Xenopus tropicalis: one gene and its partner. The protein of the gene in region 1 interacts with the protein of each later gene in a pairwise test. Links are inferred from orthologs where the notes say so. Each region holds a gene or a part of one and is shown on either strand. Other genes may lie near its edges. The genes, in order: copg1 and copz1.

Region 1 (6,967 bases):
CTACTACAGCTGCCTTTAGATTAATGGCCAAAAACCACAGCACCTTAAGGGTTAAAGCTATTTGGCAGCCAAATCCTATATTTTCTGATTTTAAGATTGTAAGAGTCTTGAGTCAGACTTTCAGATAACAGGTGAGTTCCTGACACTGTTCAAAGTACAGGCATGTCTGTGTACAACACTGCACAAAAGGATCACCAAGGAATACCACATGCAGCGGCCCCCTGGAGTTGTTGGATATTAACATGTTTCTGGATGATTACCACCATAGTATGTATCCTTTCATTTGTATTTTTCTAAATAATGTGTTTGTGTTATATTGTTTTATAATCATTCCCTTTTGGCAGCTGGTATACTTAAAGAAATCTGAGTAAAGAACTGAATCCACACATGTTATACGTTTCCCAATTTGTTATTAACAATTGTTTAATTCTTACCAGTTTCTAAGAATATATATTGGAGCTGCTAATGAAAGGAATTTATTTGTTTCTTTATATTGAAATTAACCTTTTAAATATGTTTGAGAATTTATCCTTAAATAAAACAGTGACAATTGCAATAACCTTGTTTGGCATTCTTCTGCCACTTTAATTTCATATCAATCATATGGTCCAGCCAGCATTCGCATGGCTTTGGAAATGGTAATCTCATACTTCATCCTATTGATTTCTATATGTATATAGCATTAATTGTGTGGTTGATTCTTCAGATGATTAACTGGATGTGGTGCTATGTGACGTGTAAAATAAGAATGAGACACATTCCAACCAGTAGCTTTATTCCCTGCCCCCCCCCCCTCCATCCTTAATGCATTTTAACATATCTGTATGCTTCTGTTTGATTTCCTTGTTTCTGTATCCAGAGCAGAAAGCCCCATGAGCACCACAAACTCATTGAATGGGGGGAGGAAGGTCCAGTAGGGCCTGGGTTTTCCTATGGCCCAAAAGACTTGTTTTGATACCTGACAACCTCTAGCATTTTGAAAACATTCCATCCATTTGGACAAAGATCTCTCCAATTCTACCCTGAATCATTAACCTTGCAAAAAAAAAAAACTTTAAGGGCTGTAACAGACGGCAAGATTAGTCACTGCACAACAAATCTCCCTTGTCATGGGCGACTAATCTCCCCGAAAAACCATCCCACCGGCTAGAATGTAAATCGCCAGTGGAATGGCATATGTGGTGCCACAATTTCCCAAAATCGCCGAAGTTGTCTTGAGAGGAAACTTCTGCGATTTCGGGGAATCGCGGCGCCGCGTATGCCATCCCACTGGCGATTTACATTCTAGCCGGTGGGATGGCATTTCAGGGAGATTAGTTGCCCACGACAAGGGAGATTTGTCACAGGCGACTAAACTCCCCATCTGTCACAGCCTTAAAGAAGAACTAATAGCATTTTTTAATTCTACCCCTGGAGGACGTCTCCCTCCACCCTACCCAATACTGTGGGGTTGGAGGACACCTTCTTGCAGTGGCACAAAGTGACAGCCAGGGCCCCACCCTACCTGCGGTGCTAATTTTGGAACAGGTAAGGCAAATAGGGCAGTATTGAGGGGGCACAGTGTGCATTAAGGATTGCCACCTTTGACCTCAGCAAAAAAACAGACAAAATGTTGGGATGATGACATCAGAGGCAGAGCGGTGACATAAGAGGGTGCAGATGTGATATTTGGAAGTGTATTTGTACATTTTGGGGGCAGGCCTTGACATCAGAGGTGGTTAGTGGCCAGATTATTGTTTTGGTTTCACAAGGCTGAATCCCAGACAGTTAAGATCCAAATAGCCCTAAGTAAAGCTGAACTGTGCAGGTCAACAATAAACAAGTGGCAACTCTATGTGCATGTCAAAAGAGGAGAGATCCATTCCATAGGTACTACTTATAAAAATGCTTTTATTTGCCTTTATTTAAACGTCAAAATGAATAATACAATTACACAAGAATCCTGCCTCCCTGTACGAATATTGTGATTTATATTTACCTGTAAAGCATTAAAAATCTGAATACATATTAGAAAGTTGCTTAGAACTGTATTTCCTTTCAACAGGCCAAGTTTTATTTTTGGGCTTACATCGTTTTAGAAAGTTACTTGGACTTCCAAGCAACTTTCTAAGGCGATGTAAACTCAAAAATAAAAACCTATTTTGCCTGGCTCATACTTTTCCTCGAACTTCCGGTGTACATTTGTCCCTTATTGCGTGCGCTATTCACAAGCAGTTCCGGTTTCAATTCAGTCGCTTCCGCTAACAGTGCGCATGCGTTGAACAAGCATTTACCGTTCTAGGCATGCTCTGTCCGCGCCAATCGCACTGCTTGTTAGTGCGCATGCGTAGGTTACGTTGTCAGGAGTGACGTGTCCCGGTGACAGCCTGGCAGGAAGTGGCCTGGTTCTGACTGAGGGGCAGAGATGCTGAAGAAGTTCGATAAAAAGGATGAGGAGTCGGGTGAGTGATATGGGGGGTTTGCACTATTGTGTCGCGTTTTATTTATTGCCCTTATATGTCTGTTTAAATGGCGAACGCTGTCACTGGCCCACACCGGCAGCAGGGAGTGCATGGTACTCAGGCCCCTGGCTCTGTGTGGGGATACACTGGCAGCCATGCAAAAGGCAGAACCCAAGAGGGACGGGTTGTGCAGTTCAGTGGAATCCAAGCCCGTGTCTGTGACCTAGGAAGGCATCAGGTGTGTGCTACACTGGTAGAACAGCTGGACGGGGCCCTAGCGTTACTCTAATAACTCTCACAATACCTATACATCGGGTCTACACCAGGAATCCCATAAAGCCTGCTGGGATTGGTCGTTTTAATAAGAAAGGCCATATTGGATATGTCTGTTCTAGGGCATTCCTTCATGTTGTAGGAGTTACTATATATTTAATTCAGAGTATTGGGGAGCCTGTACCCAGTGTGCTAGTAACAATGTAAATTAAAGCTGGAATACTGGCCGTGCCCTTGTGTTTTAGAGCCACCACCTTATTCTGTTCTTGGCAGTCCATTACACTGCTGCCCATAAGGTGCATCTGTTTGCAAATGCAGCCCCATGCTAGTTAATGGGTATGCTTTGAATCATATTAACCCCCCGATACCAATAGGTTATAGATATAAAACTGTATGTGGGAAAAATGCCTTGTGAAAATTTGCATGCCGAATGCACACGTGCAAAATGGGCGCAGGGTGTAAACATAAAATGGCATGGCCTAATCCATTTAGAGAGAAGCAGGTATGGTTCAGCTCTGTATTATATGTTGTATTTGCCAGGGCTGAGTAATTAAGCACCTTCTTTAAAGGTGCCCATACACAGGCCGACTATAGCTGCCGATATCGGTCCCTTGGACCGATTCGGCAGCTAATCGGCCCGTGTATGGGCAGAACAGAGCTGCCTGGCCGACCAATATCTGGCCTGAAATTGGCCAGATCTCGATTGGCCAGGTTAGAAAATCCGGTCGGATCGGGGACCGCATCGGCTCGTTGATGCGGTCCCCGAACCGACTGCCCCATAAGCTCAAATGTAATCCGATTGTTGAACAATCGGATTATTTTTTTTTCAAGTCCCTTGCTACCCGATATCGCCCACCCGTAGGTGGGGATATCGGGTGAAGATCCGCTCGCTTGGTGACATCGCCAAGCGAGCGGATCTTATAGTGTATGGGCACCTTAAGGCTGAAGTTATTTTAGTGATATTCCGTCCATATGTTTGTACATCAATGTAAGAGCTCTGTGTTTGTTGCCATCAGCAACTGCACCGCAGTTTTGTATGTGCTGTTTATCATTTGTACTATTTTATTATAAATTTAAGAATGTTGCAGTTTTCCTTAAGGCTTTTTATCTCCCATCAGCATCTAGATATATTATTATTTAACCAATAAACAAAAGTCTCTTCCATTGTACATCAAAGAAGCCAGCAGGGCTGTGGAGTTGAAGTCGGAGGCAATTTTGAGTACCTGGAGTCCGCGGCAATTTTGAGTACCTGGAGTCGGCAAAAAATGAACCAACTCTGACTCCTACTAAATTTAAATGGGAATAAAAAAAAAAAAAGCAAGTTTAAATGTCCCAATTCACAAACAGTCATAATTAATTACTTCTCTGCTATAAGAATAAAGCCCAATGCAGAGCCAGTAGTTCTGTGGTTAAATGACATGTATGTCTCCTTCCTTTCATTCAATGAATGTATAAAATACATTAGCATATTAAAAACAGTCGGAGTCGGAAGTATCAGAAACTGAGGAGTCGGAGTCGGAGAATTTATCTACCGACTCCACAGCCCTGGAAGCCAGTACTTGTATGATCTAGGTCCTATAATGACGCCTGTGGATACCTTACTGAAACTACCCTGATATTGTCATCAGTAATTAATGGGCCGCATACTGCCAAGTAGGCCTCTGGGTGGTGAGCCATGACAGCAAATAGAATGGGGCTTATTGCCGCTTATCTGCATCAGCCACACCCCTTTATGCCAAAACCTCACCGATAGTATGAACAAACCTTGCCCACTCCATGTTAGACTCACATCTTCATGTTGGGTACCCTTCTACCATAGGGCCCCTGATAGGATTACCTCTCATGGTGGCCCTGAGTAGACTTAGTATAATTTACTTTTCAATTGGTCTTCATTATCTATGTGTTTGTATGTTTTTTGTTTTTTTTTTCTCTTTCCAGCCTACAACTAAAAAAATGTGGTGTGGTAGTCACTTAACTTTGACACTGTAACCAGATACACTGTGCAGTTTTATTGCTCTTTTTTCTTTTTATAGTGTCTAGTATTTATTTCAAGTTTGATTTTAAAACATAACTTAATTTTGTGTGCAGGTCAGACTGGGGAAGTACAGGCCTCCTCTGCTTCAGAAGTGTTCCTCTCTTAAAACCAGAGGCGCACTCAGAAGTAGTGTACGGAGTGGAAAGACACTGGTACAGGTTGGGTGCGGGTCCTACAATGGCAGTATTTTATGACTTGGGGTCAGGGTGGAGCTTTTCCTGACCTGCTCATTATTAATGCATGCTGTGGGCTAGGATTAAAACCAACCTACTAATCAACCCAAGTGTAGAAAGCCTGAAATCACTACATGATTTGCAATACATTATTTGCATTTATTTAAATAATGTGCCTATGTTATCATTTAATTTACATAAGTTTTAAAAGTTTTTATTTTAACTATTCCAGGGGGCAGCTCCAACCCTTTCCAGAACCTTGAAAAGAGTGCAGTGCTCCAGGAGGTAAGGCCTTGACTCTTTGTGTATTTATTTATGGTGCTCAATTTGCCAGCAGTAAATGTGAAAGTTGGCATATGACCATCTCTGTACCCTCTAGCATTTTATTTCCAAATAGACTCAAGATCAATTTAGGGCTTTTTCATGTTGACTGTTGCACAAGTGCTCCCCCTCATCTCACTTACAGGGGATTAAGCAGTGACTTTCTGGTAGTTGTAGTTCTGCAGCTGAAGTGGCCTATACTGGAACTAGTTTTTTCATTTTCCTCAATTTTATAATAATTACTAACTTACAGGCCACAGTTCTTCATTAGTTCTCCTTATTTGTCATTTATTTTGCAGCAGTGTAAGCTTGTCTACAACTGTGAATTTATGTTGTATCATGTCTGCAATCCAGCATATAGAAAAATAATTCCTTCAGTAATGAATTTTCTGTTGTACCTTCACATTGAATTATAGGCTCGTCTGTTCAACGAGACTCCAATTAACCCTCGAAAATGTGCTCACATCTTGACGAAGATACTATATTTAATAAACCAGGTACGTGAAACATACAGTTTGCTCTGTGTACATGAGTCTTGATATATAAAAACTCACCCACGTTCTGTTCATTCCTATGGGATTTTTTAGAAGCATGTTTATCAAATAGTGAACTCTAACTTTCACCTGTCAATAAATATTTTTTAAAAATACCATAAGAGCGAATAGAACGTGGGTGAGTTAGTTCTCAATTCACATTTTGGTAAATTTGCCCCATAGTGTTGGCTTTAGAGCAGGCCAAAGAGGGTCTTTTTATACAAATGGCATATTACTACATCATTATTTCATCATTTACACCAACAGTGTCCAGTATGTCTTCCTCCTGTATTTATTTATTTTTTACTGATGGCTAAATGACTGATTTGCAGAGCTATTGAACTACCATAGGGTCACCTATTATTTAGCATCACCTTCTGGTGGTGGTATTTGTGTATGTTAGTTGTGTAGCAAGGACCCCACTTACCTTGATACAGATTTGAGCACCCAGGGGATGTACAATTCCTATACATCTTGTAGCAGATTCAGACAGCATTATGTGGGACTGTCAAATCAAAACAGTCAGTTTACCACTACTGAGATACATTTTCTGGTTAGACTATTAAAACCTTATTAATGAAAGTCTACACCTACTTTGACATCTCTTTGCGTGCAGTGTAGCATTCTCACTCAAATGTAGCTCTAATTTGGTGCCTAGCCCATAGTCTGAAAGATTACAATGACCACGCTAGTTACAGAACTAGTCTTGTGAAAATTTCATCCATACATCATTCCAAATCATAGCTTAAATCATCAGGTGTACAGGTTTGGTGCTTAGGATTTATTTTTGCTTAGGAAATAGGGTTGCTGTCCATGTTCCCTGCACAAGCATTCAGCAACGTTCTAAGCCTCCTAAACAGGTCCAGCTTTGAAATTAAGGCAGCTGTACTGCCAAGAATCAGATACTTGGGTTTCTTGGATTACAATGAACAAACCAAGTAAATGTTACTTAAGTGTTAAGTTGATAATGTTACTGGCATAAGCATCTCTTTAACCTGAGCAGGATTAGAAGGGGTACATAATGTTTAGTCTTGCCTTTTTGTGCATGTCCCCATGTTCATGCAGAGTTATAAGTAGAATCAAACATGATTTCCAGTACCTACAGTAACTTTGTATTTTGTTACCAGGGTGAGCACATGGGTGCCACAGAAGCAACAGAAGCTTTCTTTGCCATGACCAAACTGTTCCAGT
Region 2 (7,032 bases), on another chromosome or scaffold:
CCTGATTACTGCCACACCTGTTTCAATCAAGAAATCACTTAAATAGGAGCTACCTGAGACAGAGAAGTAGACCAAAAGCACCTCAAAAGCTAGACATCATGCCAAGATCCAAAGAAATTCAGGAACAAATGAGAACAAAAGTAATTGAGATCTATCAGTCTGGTAAAGGTTATAAAGCCATTTCTAAAGCTTTGGGACTCCAGCGAACCACAGTGAGAGCCATTATCCACAAATGGCAAAAACATGGAACAGTGGTGAACCTTCCCAGGAGTGGCCGGCCGACCAAAATTACCCCAAGAGCACAGAGACAACTCATCCGAGAGGCCACAAAAGACCCCAGGACAACATCTAAAGAACTGCAGGCCTCACTTGCCTCAATTAAGGTCAGTGTTCACGACTCCACCATAAGAAAGAGTCTGGGCAAAAACGGCCTGCATGGCAGATTTCCAAGGTGTAAACCACTTTTAAGCAAAAAGAACATTATGGCTCGTCTCAATTTTGCTAAAAAACATTTCAATGATTGCCAAGACTTTTGGGAAAATACCTTGTGGACCGACGAGACAAAAGTTGAACTTTTTGGAAGGTGCGTGTCCTGTTACATCTGGCGTAAAAGTAACACAGCATTTCAGAAAAAGAACATCATACCAACAGTAAAATATGGTGGTGGTAGTGTGATGGTCTGGGGTTGTTTTGCTGCTTCAGGACCTGGAAGGCTTGCTGTGATAGATGGAACCATGAATTCTACTGTCTACCAAAAAATCCTGAAGGAGAATGTCCGGCCATCTGTTCGTCAACTCAAGCTGAAGCGATCTTGGGTGCTGCAGCAGGACAATGACCCAAAACACACCAGCAAATCCACCTCTGAATGGCTGAAGAAAAACAAAATGAAGACTTTGGAGTGGCCTAGTCAAAGTCCTGACCTGAATCCTATTGAGATGTTGTGGCATGACCTTAAAAAGGCGGTTCATGCTAGAAAACCCTCAAATAAAGCTGAATTACAACAATTCTGCAAAGATGAGTGGGCCAAAATTCCTCCAGAGCGCTGGAAAAGACTCGTTGCAAGTTATTGCAAACGCTTGATTGCAGTTATTGCTGCTAAGGGTGGCCCAACCAGTTATTAGGTTCAGGGGGCAATTACTTTTTCACACAGGGCCATGTAGGTTTGGATTTTTTTTCTCCCTAAATAATAAAAACCCTCATTTAAAAACTGCATTTTGTGTTTACTTGTGTTATCTTTGACTAACAGTTAAATGTGTTTGATGATCAGAAACATTTTGTGTGACAAACATGCAAAAGAATAAGAAATCAGGAAGGGGGCAAATAGTTTTTCACACCACTGTATAACCTGTGCAAGGAAGTTGTATTTTATCAAATAAGAAATTGAAACAGAAGCACTATCCTACAGTTATTTCCCAAACATGCATAGTACAAATAAATACAACATTTGTTATCAGCATAGGAAATGATCTGATCAGTTCACTATAAACTGCAAACACTACATACTAATAAATAATCAGTTCATACAGGGCCTCCAAAAAAGTTGAGTTTTTTTTAATAATAATGAAGGTACTGTAGGTAAGCCAACCTACCTAGGGTAGATTCTATTATGAAAGACTGCATAGGTAAGGCATCACCTTTAATTTAGCATTTTTGCAATGCCTAGAGAAAAGATTATAATCATATGAAACCTGTTCATAGAAGAACAACTAAGAAAGGGGTGGCATATTAGCAGCATTCATATATATGTATCAATGCAATTAACAGACAGCAGGAAGAAAACTAAAATAGGTGGCTCTAATGCTATGATTCAGGAAAGGGATGGCAAAATTGTTACACCATTATTTCTGGAGTCCACTATGGCTTTTATTGTTCTGTCTAACCAAACCCCAACTCTTAGAAATGTGGAAGAATTCAAAACCTGCAAAAAGTGTTAGGATATTGACCAAGTTCAAAAGCAAATCTTACATGTGGTATATTCCTAGTGCAAAATGTGAAAATATATATATCATAATGTCCCTCTGTAAATTGTACCAGCCGGTGACAGACTTCTGAAATGGAAGGTAGAGTTGGTCCTGTGTCTGAAGGCAGTGCTGCTTGCACCTAGCACTAAGATATGTATAAAAGGGGTGGAAAATGGCCATCCCCTTATATTACTCTAATTTTACATTATTTATGGCAGTATGTATTTTATATATAGACATCTGAGTTTCCATGTCTAGGAAACCAGCTTTAGAGGGGCCATCCACAGTTTACTATGTAGATTCACCCCCCCCCCCTTTTTTGTCTTTCTTGCTTGATATCGACCAGGCAGGATCACTCAAGAGCTCCATATATGGGCCAATGAACAATTAAGTGTATTAATGATAACGTTATCTATTGTATTGAATGCCTGTGTGGCCTTCAGTAAATAGGGAAAAGGAATAGGTAGTTATTAGAATGAAAAAACTAACATACAGAAATATTAGTAAAGGTTTATAAACTAGAGTTTCCAAATCTCGAACTCAAATATCTAAATAGGGATTCAATATTGGAAAATGATTAATGTTAAAATAGGGGGCTGTGAGATATTATAAGAATAACCAGGGCTGCCATTGCTATGTGGGGAAAGTTACGCAAATTGCCTAACGTACATATAAAGTTATGGCAAAACTAAATCAATTTACGTAACTTAAACCTGCCTAGAAACTTGTGTAACTTGCATAAAAACTTGCGTACAAGCAAAAGACAATGCAGAGAAGGGAAAACTCCAGTAACCACCAATGAATGGTAAATTCTACCTCCCCCAATGAACTGACTTATTAGCACATTAATTATTCATTTTAACCATTTATATGAACTGCTTATTATAGAGTAATATCTCTGTTTTTATTTGGGATCTATTTACTGAATTCTATGAGTATTCTTTACATTAACTTTTCAGCAGTGGAATGACTGGTTATTGGGCCCCACAGCAACATCATTGGCCCCCTACGCTTATGCAAGTTACTTTGAGAAAACTTACATTTAAACTGCACTGACCCCTAATGAAAAGATTCACTTATTAGCACATTATTATTTTTACTGCTTTAAAAAAGTAAAGTAAGTAGTTTTCTCCAGAAAAGGTGGAAACCCTAACCCCTTTGCATCACCCACGTCCCCATACATATCTCTCCTTACATCCTAATTATGCTTATGTGTTTTCCTTTTTGTTTCCTCTTGTTGTTTGGGTACAAAATCCTGTATATAAGAACCAACATTGCTTCTTTGTAATCAGCTTTGGTGAAGGAACTCTTTGCTGAGATTATCATCTTAGGCAGCCAATACCCACAACACATCTACGCCACTTTTGTTATGCTTCATGTCAGAAGTTTCACACTACAACTTTTTCAACTGGCTAACATAGTGCAGAACACTGGATTGGAACCAAGAGCACTAAGCACAGTTTTTACGCAAAGTCAACCGACCTATCAATTCATTCCAATGTCCGAGCTGTAGCGTAACAGCAGGGTGGAGCTTTAAACTATTAGTGACACAGTAATTTACATCTATTTCCTCCGCCATGGTAACCATTTGCCCAATAAAAGCAGCTTCCGCTTCCAACGTAGACGCATTCGTGTTCCGCCTGTCAGTGACTGAAACCATCAACCAATTAAAAAGCTTTAGACGCTATTAGCCACACCCTTCTTCTTCCTGTTCCAATCAGACTGAGCGAGGAGGCGCGGCTAAAGTTTTGATTGGCAGATGAATTAGCCAACGCGCGCTTTGCTCCACGTCAGCAGGATAGAGAAAGATGGATGCTATACTGTTGGTGAGTGAGGCCGCGGAAATAGCTTTGATTTTAGTGTGAGGGGGCCGGTAAAACTTTATTTTTCTATGGTGGTTGCAATCGTTTGTTTAGCTGGCCAGGCTGCTGTGTAGGGACAGGGGACGAGTGGTTAGGGTCTGTCAGTGGCAGGCTTTGGGCTGTGACTCCCAGCATACGTTCAAACGCTAGGGTAGCTATTCATTTTGGGACCTGTAGGAGATATCGTGCAGCAAAGTAGTTACTTTTTGTCATTCAGGGATGTTGCACCTGAGCCTTACGCCATGGTGAGCCTGTGCCAGGGACCCCCTATTGAATGGCAGGACTGGGCAAGGGCTGCTGGCACAGAAATAATAAAAAATATCTGGTAGTGACATTTTCTGAATATAGTGTGCCAAACTCTATAGTGCTATACCCCTTCTGATATTCCTTGTGTGGGTGTGTGTTTCCTTCCTAATCTGCCTGATTTTTATGTAGAAATAGTAGTAGTAGTAATAGTAAATAGTAGTAGTAATAGTAGTAGTAGTAATAGTAGTAATAGTAAATAGTAGTAGTAGTAATAGTAGTAGTAGTAGATGATTGATTGGGCTTTTAAGGAAAAAGAAAGGTGTCTGGGCTATTCTGAAATCTCTTTGGGTTAGACTGGACAGGCCTGGCGCTTATGCATGTCAGATTGTTGCTATTAGTCTATTTGCAGTTTAACAACAGCAGTTGGGCTATGGCTGATGGTAGAAGAAATATAGAACAGTTTTAACACAATACAATATCTGTATCAGGCATTTAAACTCTTAACAATTTTTTTTTGCAGGATTTTGTTTCCCATGGGGTATTGCATATCCCAGATATAGTTTTATAGAATCTCTCTTTACAGGTTGTGATTAAAGGGTATTGTATTGGGTAAAAACAAGAAAGTTCTAGTGCATTATGCACCTCAAAATCTAGAATAAATGTGCTGAGAAGTTTTTGGCCGATTTATTGAAAATGTATCCAAAACCCTACTAGTCCTACCCATTTTTTCCACTTCCCACTGCCTTCTTTCCCAGACCTGATAGGGAACTGAAATCGTCATTTGCGTGTGTGATTGGCTATGCCCCTCCTACTGTGCTTCTGGCAGGGACCATTAGGACATACCCCCCCCCCCCCCACCACCACTTGAAACATGGACAGGCAGATCCATAGGAAGCTTTAATAAAAAGGCCATTTTGTAAAGCTAATGATTATTTTTATCTCAGAGTGAAACCTGAAACCAGCACCATATATTTCATTTATGCTATATGTCTACTTTAAACTTAGTGTTTGCCGTGTTTATCTACTTTTGAGTGACTGTTCCCCCAAATATTGACGCATGGCATGTAAGTTTCTTGAAAGAAATTCATTAGGAAGCTTTAATAAAAAGGCCATTTTTAAAGCTAATGATTATTTTTAGCCCAGAGTGAAACCAGCACCATATATTTCATTTATGATATATGTCTACTTTAAACTTAGTCTTTGCTGTGTTTATCTACTTTTGAATGACTGTTCCCCCAAATATTGACACATGGCATGTTAGTTTCTTGAAAGAGAATCATTGTATAAAGAGGTTGTTTGGGAATTGAGAAGAACAGGTAACATCTGCTAGCAGAGTCAATGACACCTTGATAGGGACTAACTCAGTAAAGAATTCATACATGCCTGAATCTATGCTCTGTTTTTATTACTATTCCATGTTTCTTCCTTTTATATATTCCCTTTAACAAGAATATCATACATTGCTGTCTTTGAACAGTAGCATAAATTATATTCTCAGTCAGCACCCTAGGCATAAACTGAACAGAACAACTAAAAACCAAATAGTTTAATACTGACAGTATCAGTTACCACTCACAAATTGGAAAGTGAACGTGTCCATCAACCACAAATAAAAGGTAGAACCAGAACAGGCATTAAGTGCTAACGCTTTCCAAACTCCAGGTATAGCACAGTAAATTGGCTCCTTTGTGTTTGGACAAACATGCAAATAATGACTTTCCTATGGTAAGTGGTAAACCATTAATTGAATTCAGGGTCATCGGTGTTTCCCAAGGGGCATCCTCGTCTGGTGGTTGAACTATAAGATGACTGAAAAGCAGGGACAACGTGCTAAATATAGTTTGTTATTGAAATATAAAATGGAATATATTGCATTTATCTAACTAAAAGCATCATGCGCATTTCTAATACAGAGAGGTAGTTTAACAGGTTTCCCCAGAAGAACAGTAGATAGTGGGTATCCAACCCCAGCTCTGATTCACACAGGGAACATTATTTGCAGTTCCCTCTCAGGTCTGTCTAGCTGCTGATTGAATGGCATCCTACAATGCAAGTGCTGAGTGCCACATAATCTCCTTCTCAACCTGGGAAAGCAGCAGCTCAATTCGGTGAATGGTGCTAGCAAGTTTTTTACATTTACGTAACTTTTTCAGCAACACCAAAGGAAACTTAAAGGTACATACATGTATTTAGAAGTGTATAATGCAATGAAAAAATGCTTCTTCTTGACACCATTTGTCCCCTTTAAGTATAATGTGAGAGGTCTGCTGGATTTCAAGCCTTTCCCAAAAAATATTGTCTACCTGGATTTAGAATTTTCAGTGTCAATTTTAACCTGGAGGATAAGCCCCAGCAAGGATTTTCCTTCTGTTACTTTTATTACAATTGAATAATCAGAGTGAATTACTAATTGATTGCTGTGGGTTACTAAGCCAAAGAAAACTTTCCTTGTAAATATTGCTTAGATCTGATCCGTTCTCAGTTATGGCACTTTTGTCACAGTGACAGTCAAACTGTGCCCCTCCTGGTGCAGTTAAACTTCTAGATATTAAGGGTATAAGGATACTGGAAGTTCAAAAGGATTTCTGTTATCTATTTTCCCTTGATATGGTCCTAGAACACTTAAATAATTTTTTATGTTTTTTGTTGGAGGGTGTTGATATTTATTTCCTGTATTAATGTATTCCTTATTAATGTGTTGGGAATCACAAACATTCTTGGGTTGGTAGGGCAATGCTGTACAGTTGAATCAGCTACAAGAAGTGCAATGCAGCATATAGAATGCATGTATCTTGGTACATGGATGGCAGAGAGGTGGAACTACATGCGAATGAGGAACAGCGTTTGAGGTGAAGTTCTGTTATACACTCCGGCTGTGAGTAAGTGGAAGTCAGTGCATCACAGAACTTTGTCTCGAGGGCTTCACTACTCCATTAAAGTGAGCTCTCTCTAGGCTAATGGAC

What was found.
Region 2: the proteins of copg1 (region 1) and copz1 interact in a two-hybrid assay, tested with the Homo sapiens proteins (2 studies listed by BioGRID). The link is inferred for Xenopus tropicalis from reciprocal best matches to the Homo sapiens genes COPG1 and COPZ1.

The regions. Positions count from the first base shown.
Region 1 is NC_030680.2:135,686,658-135,693,624, reverse strand, and holds the start of copg1 (coatomer subunit gamma-1), read left to right. Parts: upstream 1-2,307; 5' UTR 2,308-2,404; coding exon 2,405-2,441; intron 2,442-5,154; coding exon 5,155-5,207; intron 5,208-5,659; coding exon 5,660-5,740; intron 5,741-6,903; coding exon 6,904-6,967. UniProt on the Homo sapiens protein: The coatomer is a cytosolic protein complex that binds to dilysine motifs and reversibly associates with Golgi non-clathrin-coated vesicles, which further mediate biosynthetic protein transport from the ER, via the Golgi up to the trans Golgi network.
Region 2 is NC_030678.2:145,583,534-145,590,565, reverse strand, and holds the start of copz1 (coatomer subunit zeta-1), read left to right. Parts: upstream 1-3,681; 5' UTR 3,682-3,769; coding exon 3,770-3,787; intron 3,788-6,900; exon of another isoform or gene 6,901-7,032. UniProt on the Homo sapiens protein: The coatomer is a cytosolic protein complex that binds to dilysine motifs and reversibly associates with Golgi non-clathrin-coated vesicles, which further mediate biosynthetic protein transport from the ER, via the Golgi up to the trans Golgi network.